Drosophila melanogaster: one gene and its partner. The gene in region 1 interacts genetically with each later gene. Each region holds a gene or a part of one and is shown on either strand. Other genes may lie near its edges.

Region 1 (7,133 bases):
GCAATATTTTGCATTTGCCTGCCAGTTTTTCCGGTTTGCTCTGACCACAAAGTGTTGGCCATTAACCGAGCGCAGTCTGAGCCACCCGCTGGGCCATATCATGTTTATGCCGCACGCTTCGAGAATAAGAATGTTCATGGAAAGTGTCGGATCTACTAGTTTGCACGGAGAAGAGAGAAATGTTTAAACAATAATAATATATATATTTAATGAATATTTTCCTCTTTATTATTTAATTGATTTATAGTTTGCAGCATGCACTCCGCATAAACGCAGTAACAGACACTTTCCCAGGGAAGCGGAAAGGCAGGCTGACGCGTGTTAATTTGAATAAATTATTAAAGCACGTGATGAGCGCGACCTTTCAACCAATTGGGGCAACTACCAGCCATCACCCACACTACCGCCCCCACCAATCCCAATTGGATGGTCGAAAACACACCAACCAGCCCACCCCCCGCAAGCCAAGTGCAATTAAGCACGAAAAAACCAATCAAACTGGAAATAAATTGCGCCATAGTTGCAGCAGCCACACAGCGACCAGGGTTGCCATACGGCGCCGATTTTTGCGAATTTTTTTTGCCTAGCCAGCACTTTGTGTGCCCCTTCTGCGTGTGGGTGTTTTGGGTTTTTTGCGTTCGCCGGGGGTTTCCCTTTTTATTGTGGCCGCTGGGTGAAAATTGTTTGCATTGCATTCTCTGCTGATGCATGCGAATTGAGAAATATTTGCAATTTAGCAAAATACACCCGGAAGCGGCTCCGGATTGAAGCTTGAGCTCCTTTTGCCACATTTCGCAATTTCGATTTTCGCCCCGCATTTGTATTCATATTTGTATTTGGTTTTTCCAATCGCACACGGGCCCGACTTTCCACACTCTTACAGTGCGTGCAAAATGACGGCAATTAGGTGTATACGCTGCGCTGATTTATGTTTTTTTTTTTTTTTTGTAGTTGATCGCCTCACCTTCGAAAATAGCCAGGAATGCAATATCCATTGTTTCAGGGAATGGATTTCATCCGAGTATTGTTTTTCGGTATAAAACATTGTTTGAGAAATATTTGTAAAATATGACAAAAACTTCTATTCTATTGCTGGCAATTACAATTTGAGATCACTCATCAGTGACCACAGATTCGAAGAAAATCAAATGTATTTGTTGAGGTACGCAAACTCCTTCGCAGCTCAGATCAATTGTCGAGTTCAGTGATGCAGGAGGAGATAGAATAAAGTATAAATACAATTTGTATGCTTGATGTAATTTCATTTCCACTTATCTTGGTATTTTCTCTGCATTTTGCTTCATGCGATTGATTTATCGCACAGAAAATAATAGGCAGCCAATGTCTGTGCATCCTGTGAAAGGACTCGCTCTCGGCCTTCCAAGCATTCAATCCCTGAGCCGGGTTCAGTTTATATTCAAATGCTTACGCTTAAATGTCAATAATACGTGAAATTGAACTGCCAATTCAATCTTCACAACTACTCCGCATCGCTCCTCCACTTCTCCAGTGAAATCATTTCCATATAAGCGTTTTCCCATCTCGTCTATTTATATATATGTATGTATTTCTTTTCTTTTCGTTCGCAACTCTTTTTATTTTCCATCCTGCGAGAAAAATTCTTTCTGTTCATATGTGGAAAAACTATTTGCAAAAGTCTCAAGTGTGCTCGGTTCCCGGCCAGCAGAGGGGCAAGTGAGGCGAAGGTGTAGGTGGACGTGTTGGTGTTGGACTTTTTAAAACGACGCCTGCAAATTGTACGCAGATCACATTACACTTGCTCCAACGGACGGCATGTGCAACTGCCGGCTGCCTCTGTGGATTGCTTTACATTTGGCTGCACTTCCTACCCGGCATTCACTCGAAAAATTGAAAGATTTATTTCTTAGTTCTTTGCGATTACATTTCCACCGAGCTAATGTGTTCCGATCCAACGGCTACGTAGTGGCAGTTTGTCAACTGTCATTGCATCAGACATTGAATGGGCCACGATAGCAAATGGATTGTGGAGGGTCGGGTGAGGGCGGGGCAGTGCGGGGCAGCGCGGGAACCTGTCGCATTTTGTTGACAACTACATTGCAAATACGGCAAAGTAATCAGTATTGTGTAAATAACCAGTTATGTGTCTGCGAGTGCAGCTGACAAAGCGAGTGGTAAGCGATATGCACTGGATCGCGAATAAATTCTTGAAAGCGTTTCCCCGATTTATCTACCCGATGCATTTGGCAAGATGCGAACGGAATCGATAATCGAATAATATGCGAATATCACTCATACGCAGTGGTGGGCGCCAACGCATGTAGCACACTTTTCAGCGCCAAATGTTTCCTCGTGCGAGCCGGAACAAATTTAATATGTGGCTAAGGTCAGCTGATAAGCACCTTAGTGTCTGGGAATTGGAAAAACGCAAAAAGCACTTGAAACTATGCGTATACTTTCTGCGCTCAATGGGCAGTTGTCGGACTTCTGACCGAAGGTAAACCAATGAAAAGAGGTAAAAATGTCCAAGAAAACTGAGTCAACGGGCCAGTTAAACACCGTTTTTCTCATCGGCAAGTCGGTCGCTGTTTAAAACTATTCAACAAATTAAATTGGTTAATAATATTGAAAATATTCAAAAGGATTGACTTACCTAAGAGGCAGTTCCTAATAGTTGACCATTTCATTGCTGACCGCTTATTTTCGAATTTTTGAACGAAATTGTGCAAGTGCCTTGTTTTCTCTTACATAATTTAGCAACTACAGTTTTGTAAAAGAAAAATATATTTCGAATAGACGTCAGAAGCAAGAGACTAGTTAACTCAATTGCTCTTACTTTTACTTCTCATGTAGTGAAGACAATTCTAATCTCATTTAATCAATGTAATTTTATTGTATAGATATTTGAATCAGTATTTTCCGGAGAACTTTTATTCTTATTTTTCTCATTCTTACGTGGTTTCTCATCGATTTAATTTTATTTAAGACAATGGCCTAAATCATGGTCAGATCCAGCCTTGCCATGTCTCATGTTTTTCTCGTTTTCATTCCTCTGTTTTCAGTTGTCTTCTGACCATGAAAAGCTGGCCATGAAACATTTTTGCAACTAAGCATTGGACAAGGCACAATCCGCCCAAAAGGAAAAAACGGATTAACTTTTATGTGAAAGTGGGCAAAGGATAGACATGGAACCAGGAACCATTCCATCGCCTGTTTCAGCACCAGTTGCTGCGCCTGTGACGCCATCAGCAGTGGCTGCCCCTGTCCAAGTAGTAAGTCCTGCGGCAGTGGCTCCCGCACCAGCGGCACCGATTGCAGTCACTCCAGTTGCTCCACCGCCCACCCTTGCAAGTGTGCAACCGGCAACAGTTACTATTCCAGCTCCAGCTCCAATTGCTGCCGCATCCGTCGCTCCTGTCGCATCTGTGGCGCCTCCAGTTGTTGCAGCTCCAACTCCGCCGGCAGCAAGTCCAGTTTCAACACCACCCGTTGCTGTTGCTCAGATTCCGGTCGCTGTTTCAGCACCAGTGGCACCTCCCGTTGCTGCAACACCCACTCCTGTTGCCCCAATTCCTGTAGCTGCGCCTGTGATAGCGACACCACCTGTTGCTGCCTCTGCCCCCACTCCGGCTGCCGTGACTCCCGTTGTTTCGCCTGTGATCGCCACACCACCTGTGGTTCCCGCTAACACCACGGTTCCCGTTGCAGCACCTGTAGCTGCTGTACCAGCTGCTGTTCCTGTTGTTGCCCCAGTTCTTGCGCCTGCCGTTGCTCCTGCAGTTGCCCCCGTCGTCGCCGAGACTCCAGCTCCACCACCTGTTGCTGAGATTCCGGTTGCAACCATACCGGAGTGCGTTGCACCTCTCATCCCCGAGGTTTCCGTCGTGGCAACGAAACCACTAGCTGCAGCTGAGCCAGTGGTCGTTGCTCCACCGGCTACTGAAACCCCAGTCGTTGCTCCGGCTGCAGCTTCCCCCCATGTGTCGGTTGCACCAGCTGTGGAGACCGCAGTGGTCGCTCCTGTAAGTGCTTCGACTGAGCCCCCGGTAGCTGCTGCGACTCTAACAACTGCACCAGAAACGCCAGCCCTTGCTCCAGTCGTTGCCGAGTCCCAAGTTGCTGCGAATACTGTTGTAGCTACACCTCCTACTCCAGCCCCAGAGCCAGAAACCATTGCACCACCTGTTGTTGCAGAAACCCCAGAAGTTGCTTCAGTTGCTGTTGCTGAGACAACACCACCCGTTGTACCTCCTGTGGCCGCAGAATCAATACCAGCGCCAGTCGTTGCCACGACACCAGTTCCTGCAACACTAGCAGTAACGGATCCGGATGTCACTGCATCTGCTGTTCCCGAATTACCTCCGGTGATCGCTCCATCACCCGTTCCTAGTGCTGTTGCTGAAACTCCTGTCGACTTAGCGCCACCTGTTCTCCCTCCTGTGGCTGCCGAACCTGTACCAGCTGTAGTGGCTGAAGAAACTCCTGAGACACCAGCACCAGCATCAGCACCAGTGACCATAGCAGCTTTAGATATACCAGAAGTTGCTCCTGTGATCGCCGCACCCTCTGATGCACCTGCTGAAGCTCCGTCTGCCGCTGCTCCCATCGTTTCTACTCCACCAACTACGGCTTCTGTTCCCGAGACCACGGCACCACCTGCGGCAGTGCCTACGGAACCTATCGATGTTTCTGTACTATCAGAAGCTGCCATTGAAACGCCAGTTGCACCGCCTGTCGAAGTTACAACAGAAGTTGCAGTTGCAGACGTTGCTCCACCTGAGGCAGCTGCGGATTTAATAATCGAGCCTGTGGAACCACCAGCTCCTATTCCGGATTTATTAGAACAAACTACATCCGTGCCAGCTGTTGAAGCTGCAGAATCAACATCTTCACCAATACCAGAGACCTCATTACCGCCGCCAAATGAAGCAGTTGCCTCTCCAGAAGTGGCTGTCGCTCCAATTACAGCTCCAGAGCCCATACCTGAACCGGAACCAAGCCTAGCGACCCCTACAGAACCCATACCTGTGGAGGCACCTGTCGTAATCCAGGAAGCAGTGGATGCTGTAGAGGTGCCGGTGACAGAAACTTCAACATCGATTCCAGAAACTACGGTTGAGTATCCTGTAGCCGAAAAAGTCCTGGATCCTGCCATAACTGAAGCTCCTGTCACTACTCAGGAACCAGATGTTGCAAACATTAATGACGGTGCTCCAGCTACCGAAATCACCACACCCGCTGTTGAAATCGTTACTGCTGCTGCAGAAGTATCTGATACTGCCATACCGCTCATTGACCCTCCGGTTCCTCAAGAGATCGCAGTAGCTGAAATTCCAGAGACAGAGACAAAGCCGGCAGAGGTCATTGTTGAACAGAGCACCATCCCAATAGAGGCACCAGTCCCGGAGGTTTCAAAATACGCAGAACCAGTGATTTCTGAAGCTCCAGCTGCCGAAGTACCAATTACGGCCGGGGACAACCCAGACAATACTAGTGTGGGAATATCTGAAGTTGTTCCCACCATTGCAGAGAAAGCAGTTGAAGAGGTTCCCACTTCGGAAATCCCCGAACAATCATCGTCACCCTCAGATTCCGTTCCCGTAGCAAAGATAACTCCTTTGCTAAGAGATCTTCAGACCACCGATGTTTCGCTATTGGCTATTGCAGCCACCCTGGATGCCATTGGAGAAAAGCTAAAGGATCAAAAGGCCAGAAATCAGCAGGTAATGGACAGACTCTGCGAAATCGAGAAAATTCTTGGTCCTCCCAAATCCAATTAGCTCAAGTTTAAAGCCTGGATCATGTAAAGTAAAGCTACTAATAAAGCGTTATTTCACCAATTTTAAAGTATATACAAATTTATTACTAATTTCCTTTTCATAATAGGGTTAAAAGAGCCAAGGTATGGCTAGGTTGTCACAAATTGTTCCGTGCAAAATTAATGCAACCAAAACAAATCTACCATTTCCACTTTTTGGACATATCAGCATAGCTGGTTCCAAAGCCACAGCCACAGAACCTAATTTGCAAGCGCGTCGAAAATTTTCCCGTGGAAATTAGCATTCCAAAAGGGAGTGGGACATAAATACAGACGATTGTAAACGGGGAAAATGAATGAATATTTCCCACACTTTGTCAGCGAAAAAACGACATAAATTAGAGTTACCTCTCTGCTTTTGTATCGAGAAAGCTGGCGACTTCTGATAATTGGAAATTTATCAATGAATAATTTAATTTAAAGCTCCTGCTTACGCTTCCTCAAAAGCTTAAATATAAAGACTATCCCTTATTGATTTCATTTAAAAATGAGCCCATGGAATTTATTTTGATCTGTCCTGACGCAAAAGTCAATCGAGAGTCGTAAAAACGGTCGAAAGGGGCCAAAATGAAAACTTTTATTGCGGCAAACTGAAATTTGTGTTTATGGGGCAAGTAAGTCCGGTTGAGTCAAACACCTTCGGCGATTATTCTAATCATTTGCATTGTTTAAGCTGGTCGGCTATCTCCCAAAGTTTTCCTTTTTTTGTTGGGCTTGTATATGGGCAGAATTCGACAGAACCCAGTTACATGTTCGACAGTTCAATCTAAATCTATCGGCTACCCACACACACAGCACCAAAAAAGCTAAATTCCCATTTGACCATTTTGTCTGGAAACAATAAAATGACCTCCCGCACACAGATACACCAGATACAACCGACAGGCAGCAACATACGAAATCGCATAAATGTTGCAAATGGAGCAACAGAGTGAAGTTGTCATGCCGAGGATGCCGTGGCACAGGACCAAAACAACAGCCACAGCTACAGCTACCCGAAACTGGGAAAAAACGAATTTTCTTTTTTAGACTTCCTGGCACTTTTGAGCGGGGGGAGGGTGTGGTTCCGGAGGGGGATAGTCGGCTATTCTCATGCGACTGGGATGAAGGTTACACAGCCTAACCGCATTAATGCCAGCACAGAACAACTCGGTCCGAGTCACAGCCAAATGTGTAATTGTTGCCTGGAGGATTTGCAGAAAGATTTTCACTGTCATTTGAACTCTGTTTAAGGCTTCATTCGCTTTTCTCTCTGCACTTACTGCCATAAATGCTATCCTCTCCGGTTAAATGAACCAAATTGAAATGGTTCTTGTTTGTGAAACGATGTGAGTGG
Region 2 (6,702 bases), 8.8 Mb from region 1:
CTTGGCATTGTCGTTATCAAATGAGTGGGTCTGAAAAAGCGGCTCGGGCTGGCTAATTGAGAATTTCAAGTTGTGAATTGTGAAAAATGGATCAGATAGCGATTATAGGATGTTCAATAAGCTCGGCTAGACCGATAAGATCACACCCACGCAGAGAGATACGCCCAGACATTCGAGTTTAATTCGCTGCTGTTTTCTTTTAGCCAACTGTCTTGTTTTCTAACTTAGTGAAGATGATCATTAGCATTGGGGATAACGATAATTATGGCATGTTAGTTATGAAAGAAAATGAAAACTAAACAAAATTATTATTATTAGTTGTTAACAAATTATATTGAGTAATTAATAATATTGATCGATGGATGCTGATGTGAAAGAGATATGATACTAAACTAAAACGAAGCAAAGCAAAAACCAAACGAGGACAAAAACAAAATATAAATAACTCATAATATGGACTACAAATATTTATAAACAAATGCAGAATTATATAAACGTTCGATGGTCAAAGCAAGAACTTGAAACAAAACAAAAACCACAACAAATTTGTCAACAACACGCAGAAGTAAAAACTTGCATGTAACAACAAAACAATGAGTAAACATTTTTAATTTTTTGTTCTTTCGCCCTCCGCTGTAAATGTATTTGTAGATTTAAACAATGATTAAAATAAAAAACTACATAAATAAAACTTAAAAAACAAATCAAAATCTTTTATTTGCAAAAACATGTGGAAGTGGGGTTTAAAAAAAAAACGTAAAATGAGACTTAAGTTGATTGCAAATGCAAAGAAACGTAATTTGTAAAAAGTGCTTAGATTTGTGATCTGTCATTTTATTTCGTAAATGTCCTATGATTTCATGATTGCTATTATTCATTCATTGAATTGAGTTGTCGTGCCAAATAATCATACACATCCGAAATAAAAATCGCGACAGTTTTATGCCTACACACCAACTGGAAACGAGGCTATAAACATAAATATATTGCTCATACGCCCCGTGTTCACCCCTGCCGAATGAGTTGGGATCCGTAACGAAAACAAACAGAAAGCGGACGAAAAAAAATGGACGCCAAATACAAGGTAGCAAAAGGTTGTGAGCGCACACACTGGCACACATGTTCCTGTACTGTACTGTACTTACAGCAATGGCGTGCAGCGTTTGCTTCTCTTTCGCTACTTTTGCTGCTTTCGCTGCTGCTGTTTCCATTGCTGCGTTTATATGGCCATAAGGCTAACGCTATTGTCGCGGCAGGTCTCTCAGGGGCAACATGGGGAGGTCGTTGCGACAGCGGCAACATTTGGGTCTTATTAATTTCCGTTTTGCTTATTTATTTTTACGACGCCTCGCACAGCTCGCCATTCGGTTCGCAGTTCTGGGCCCGTCAGCAGCCGAACCGCCGAGCCATCCAGGTCCCCAAATTCTAACGCAGTCGCCATAGTCAAAAGAACATTCGTAAGGAATTCCACCTTTAAAGCCCCGGTGATACCCTACGATTATTTAGAGAGGCATATTACACAACCGTAGATGGGGAGTACTAAAATGTTAATTCATTGCTTAATTCGATTGCCTTAATTTGCTGCTTTAGCTTTGATTTAATACATGAATTATAATAATAGAAGAGAAGAAGATTACTTTAAATTAGGAAAACTGATTTATAATTAGAAAAAAAAAACTACAAAATATTATTATTTAACTTTTTAAGTGAAGTTTTTATGGCGCGGTATTAAAATATGTATAGGTATTAAAATAAAATGCATAAGTGACTTGAAAAAGTTCGTAGGCGTGATGCTGCATAGAGAGCCAAGTAAAAAGGCGCAATCAACTAAATCAAAATTATACAGGGGAAAGCCATTTATCCGGTAAAACACATACCAATTAAGTTATTTTTAAAAGCTGACTTCAATGCGATCAAAAGCTTTCTAGCCAATTTGAGTTGGAATTGGCGATGTACTTCTCAAATTTGGTTTTGAATATAAATAAATATATATATTTAAATAAAATGTATATGTTGAGATCAATACTGTACTTCAACGCGTGAATAATATCATATTTTAAGCTTAAGAAATTATAAAACAATACAATTTTCAGAAATAAAAGATTTGGCCACGTGAACCTTTATTGGGTGTTGAAAATTTATATTTTTTTGCACCCCGATCTGCTAGTAATCACTTTCCCTAACGGTGCTTATTGTTAATAGACTATTTTCCAAGCATAGAGTACAGCAACTTGTTTCCAACCGACTTAACAGGGGCGTCAAAAACTTATGCGCTTGCTTGTCTAAGACAGCGGGTGGTAGAGGAGGGGGTGTGGGTGTGGGCTATACTAACCAGCAATGCCTCTACACCACCCTCCCCGCCAAACCTTTACACCCCCTGCGAAATGCGCCACTGCAACGAGAGGAAGATGGGGAACATCGGAGAGCGACAGCGAGAGAGAGCGGCGCAGTTGTTATCGCCTGGCCAGTGTTCCACTGCCACTCTGTTCCTTATCCTGTGCACTTTCTTCCTTATCTGTCCCGCTTTCACCGCCCTCGCACTCGCCACTCTCACTCTTCGTGTGCATTTCGGGTGCCCTTCGTGTCGCGACAATCGGCATTTTTAAAGAGGCAGTCGGCCAATGTGGCAGTCGGTTACTGGCTCGCAGGTTAGTCTTTCATTATCCGGCGTTTGAGCGTGTAACGTTTTCTCCGTGATTTCCACACGCAGCAGCGGTAAATACAACAACAACGACAACGAAAGAAGCAACCAAAACAATAACAACAACAATAGAAGAGAACAGCGGCAAACGGTTTTTCGCTGCGCTTCTCCTATTTTAAGTGCCGAGCGTTTTACTATTTTTACTACACAGCGAAACATACACAGATACACATATATACAGAAATATATGTAGGTATTTGTTGATGTGTTTGTTGTGCTTCAGTCAACAATAAAAACAAAAACAGTGTTTAAAGCTAGTGAAATGATCTTCCATAAATAAATTTTCAAAATTAATTTGAGAGCAAAAATGAATTGAAAGAAAATGCCAAGAAAGTGCAGCAAAAAATCAACAACGATGCTGTCGGAGAGTCGAAACTAGGCTAAATATCTTTGCATACTTTTGGGAAAGTTGTGCGGTACAAACACACACACCCGTTCGTAACACACACACACAGGACCTGCGCCTGCGGTCGCCGACTTTTGAACCTGTTTTCTGACCATTGACCATTGACCACCGACCGCCGTGCCGGCCGCCTCTTTTCACTTTTGGCAACGCGGACTGCAGCAGCCGCTGCAAAAAATGCAACTGTAAAGGAAGCTGCAAGAAAAGGAAAGGATGTGCACGAAAACGGCATAAACCTACAAAACTAGCCAAAAGAGTTCAGAGCGGTGCGGTTCAACAGCCTCCGGGTGTTCGTGTCAAGCTCGAAATTCGCAAATTCGGCGTCAGCTTCGTGCATCTGTATCTGTGTATCTGTATCTATATCTGGTGCATCTGTGTGCGGCCATTCTGCAGTTGCAGCTCTGCAGCGGCGAAAATTGTGTCAGCAGCATCGGCAGCGGATCCTGCAGCTCGCCACACTGGCGCCTCCATCTCCGATTGCCGGTAATGTATTCGTTTTAGGCGCATTCTACCCAAGCACGACTTAATCATACGCCACATGTGAAGTGCCGTGCGGTATGGCTAAGGCATTACGCATACGCCCCGTGTATGTGAGTATGAATAGTGCGGGCGGTCTTACCTTGACAACGGACGGGGGCAGTCCGTGACAATTGTCAGTTTGTTTTCCCATTTTCGTTTTTCTATCGATTAAGCCCACTGGCCCCTCGTTCGCCCTTTGTCTGCGAATTAGCGACAACTTCTGGGCCAAGCAGCATATGGCTATGTCCACCGTCTTTGTCTAACGCCTAATTGAGTCTTTTGTGAGTATCAAGAGACGAGCAGCACCGCAGAAGAAAAGAAAAGCAAATGGGGAATCCAGTTGACATCGGCATAAGTTCGAGTTTTAAGTTCCCTTGTGGACAGCTGGTTTTTGGGCTTTCTCGACTATCACATACCATAACTGCAATGGACTTTTTTTGGATCATTTTTCAAATTCTGGGCGTTACATATTTTCTTGATCATGATCGACTCGGCTTGTGATCCGGAAATGTATTTACTGTAGAGGATATAACTAACTATAAATAAAGCTGTATGGCATCCTAGCTTTGATTCTTACACGCTGTAAGAAACGAATGTCAGTAAGGGATATAATGTTAACATTCCAAAAGGCACGTCTCCCATATGAACATATAAAGTATATTAAGACTCCCAAGAAAAAGTAAAGAACTTCGCCAGAAAACGTTAGGCTTATGATTTCAGATTTCAGAGCATTAAACCACAAATGATTATTTATATGAAGTATATTTTACTGTCCCGCTTAGATGAAATTTTTCGCTTATACTGTAGACAGTGCCTAAAGTATCATGCCATCTGATAGGGTATCCATAGAAAGGAACCAAAGAAAACAATCAACACGGAGACTAGTAAACAATTGAAAAGCAAAAAACCCGCGACTCCTGCCCAAGTCGGCCAGCCCCTTGAGTTCTTTTTTCATTCATAGGACGATGGGTGGTAGCATTTGCCTTTGTCAATATCATTCAAGCTTTCATTCGCTTCACTTGCCTGACATTTGCTTACCATTTCAGTTTAGAGTTCACTTTGTTTCCCTTTGTACAAATAAATAGCCATTTATTCATTCACTCGGTTAAGGGGCTCCTTTTCACTGACCAATGAATGAAGGAAGGTCGTCCCATAAGTATTTGTCAATTGGACACAAGTTACAATGGAACTCAGTTTGGGGCTTTATATCTAATCAAACTAAATGGCAGCCATTAACTAGCTAGCTTAATCAAGTACCCAACATCAGCATGACTCGAAGCACTCAAAATGCTCGATTTTCTGATTCTGATAAGAGGAATACCTCGGGTAATTTAAAATTGAGTATGCAGCATATTCAGCGAAATGCAGAAAATCCAGATGAAACAAGATTTTGGAAAATTCATTTAATTTATGGCTCCGTCAATTAAAAGCAACAGACCACACAGCCAAACCGCAGTACAGCTCTCAGATGAAAATTCAGCGCTTTAAAGGCTTAGAGAAAAGTGGCAGGCACTCAAAAGCTTAGGCCTTGCATACGTAGCAGCCGCAAACAGTGGCGAAAAATTCTACTTTTTTCCATTTTCGGTGTGTGGGGCGACCAACTTTTCTAACTAACAAAAAAATAAACCGCGCACATGTGTACACAAAAGAAACTCGACGAAGAAAACTGCAAATATGTAACAAGATTCGGTCATGTTTGATTCATGAAACCAGCAGAAAGTTCCAGCCCCTCACCCAATTGAACAACAATGGTGAAATAAAGTTACAGTTGCTGTGGCCACGGCAACTGGAAGCCAACATTTCGCACAATGGCGCAGAATCAGCAGCTTTAGCAGCTGCCGTGCTTCCGGAAAAAATAGAGCCCCAAAAAGCATACTTTCGAGTGTAGAGTTTATGCAGGATTCCGTTGCAGCAGAGTTAATCATACATACGTCCTGACAGTAACAAATCTCCAGCTACGAGGCATAAATAAAAAAAAATTCACCCAGCTTCGCTTTACATATTTTCCTGTTAGATTTACCGTGTATGTGGGCATCAAATTGCGCATACGCCCAGTAAGCCGTCCAGATGGGCAGATCTGCAGGCAATTTGATTATGGCCAGCGAGGCATAAAGAACGTAGAGAAATGCTGAAATAGGGCTTACTTCTAAGCCAGCCAAGTCGAGCATAAAATGCAAGCAGAGTTTGGTGGAAAAAAGGAAACGCAAAGGACTCGATTGCTCAGTTTCTCGGGAACGGCAATTAAATTGCGATGGCGATGATGGCGGAGCCGGAGAATATGTATAAATTAAAAGAGATAAAAATTCCATAAAGATGACAAAAATCAAAAGGAAAGAGGAAAAGGCGAGGGCCATAAATAAAGGAAAAACATCTGAAAAAGGGACGCGAAAATGGAGACAGAATCACAAAAATGGCGGACAAGGCGCTGACAGGCGAGCCTTAAGTCAGCTTTTGTGGCGAAACAAAAGACGCGCGAAAAGAACAGGATATTGGGATATCTAAATTACCGTTGTCACGCACCTAAGTTCACACACACTGAGTCAGACACACACATACAGAAGACATACAGCAAGCTAACAAACACACTCACAGCACGTACACATCGAAATGTCGGCATTGTGTCAGCACGGAAACCAAAGTGAAAACCTTTCATTTCACTTCTCTCCGCCCATTCAAATGGTCGAGTTCCATTGACTGAGCGAACAAAGGCCAAGGAAATGATAATTTTCCGCTCAACAGACACAGAAATATCTACATGTGTGTGTGTGTGTGTGGATTCGGTTGTCGAAATAAATGGCGAAGAAATGAAATTGAAACGCTTTCAATTAACTCTTCGCATTGGGTAGCACTTAATCCTTGTCACATTAACTGGAGCTCGCACTCTGGTTTCAATTAGGTCGATGTGACGCGTGTTTGAAATATTCATCGAGGGCCCAGCCAGCAAAGGGCATAATCAGGTGCGTTAAGGTAAATAATTTAAAAGTGTGGGGGGCTTCTCTCCACACTGATACATGTCGGATAACACACACGCCAGAGGAATCTTCATCTGCCCTCGTTCGAACTTAATTTCCATTTCAAT

The links. Genes that interact genetically often act in the same process or in processes that back each other up.
Region 2: of Cpn (region 1) and Calx, changing one suppresses a phenotype caused by changing the other (phenotypic suppression), as found in Drosophila melanogaster (one study listed by BioGRID).

What each region holds. Positions count from the first base shown.
Region 1 is NT_033777.3:12,161,582-12,168,714, reverse strand, and holds Cpn (calphotin), read left to right. Parts: upstream 1-2,528; 5' UTR 2,529-2,594; intron 2,595-3,041; 5' UTR 3,042-3,164; coding exon 3,165-5,759; 3' UTR 5,760-5,828; downstream 5,829-7,133. UniProt on the Drosophila melanogaster protein: Plays important roles in both rhabdomere development and in photoreceptor cell survival. Might function as a calcium-sequestering 'sponge' to regulate the amount of free cytoplasmic calcium. It binds 0.3 mole of Ca(2+) per mole of protein.
Region 2 is NT_033777.3:20,975,534-20,982,235, forward strand, and holds the start of Calx (Na/Ca-exchange protein), read left to right. Parts: upstream 1-2,649; 5' UTR 2,650-3,587; intron 3,588-6,702. UniProt on the Drosophila melanogaster protein: Na(+)/Ca(2+) antiporter that couples the energy of a Na(+) electrochemical gradient to the movement of Ca(2+) against an electrochemical gradient across a membrane, which contributes to the regulation of cytoplasmic Ca(2+) levels.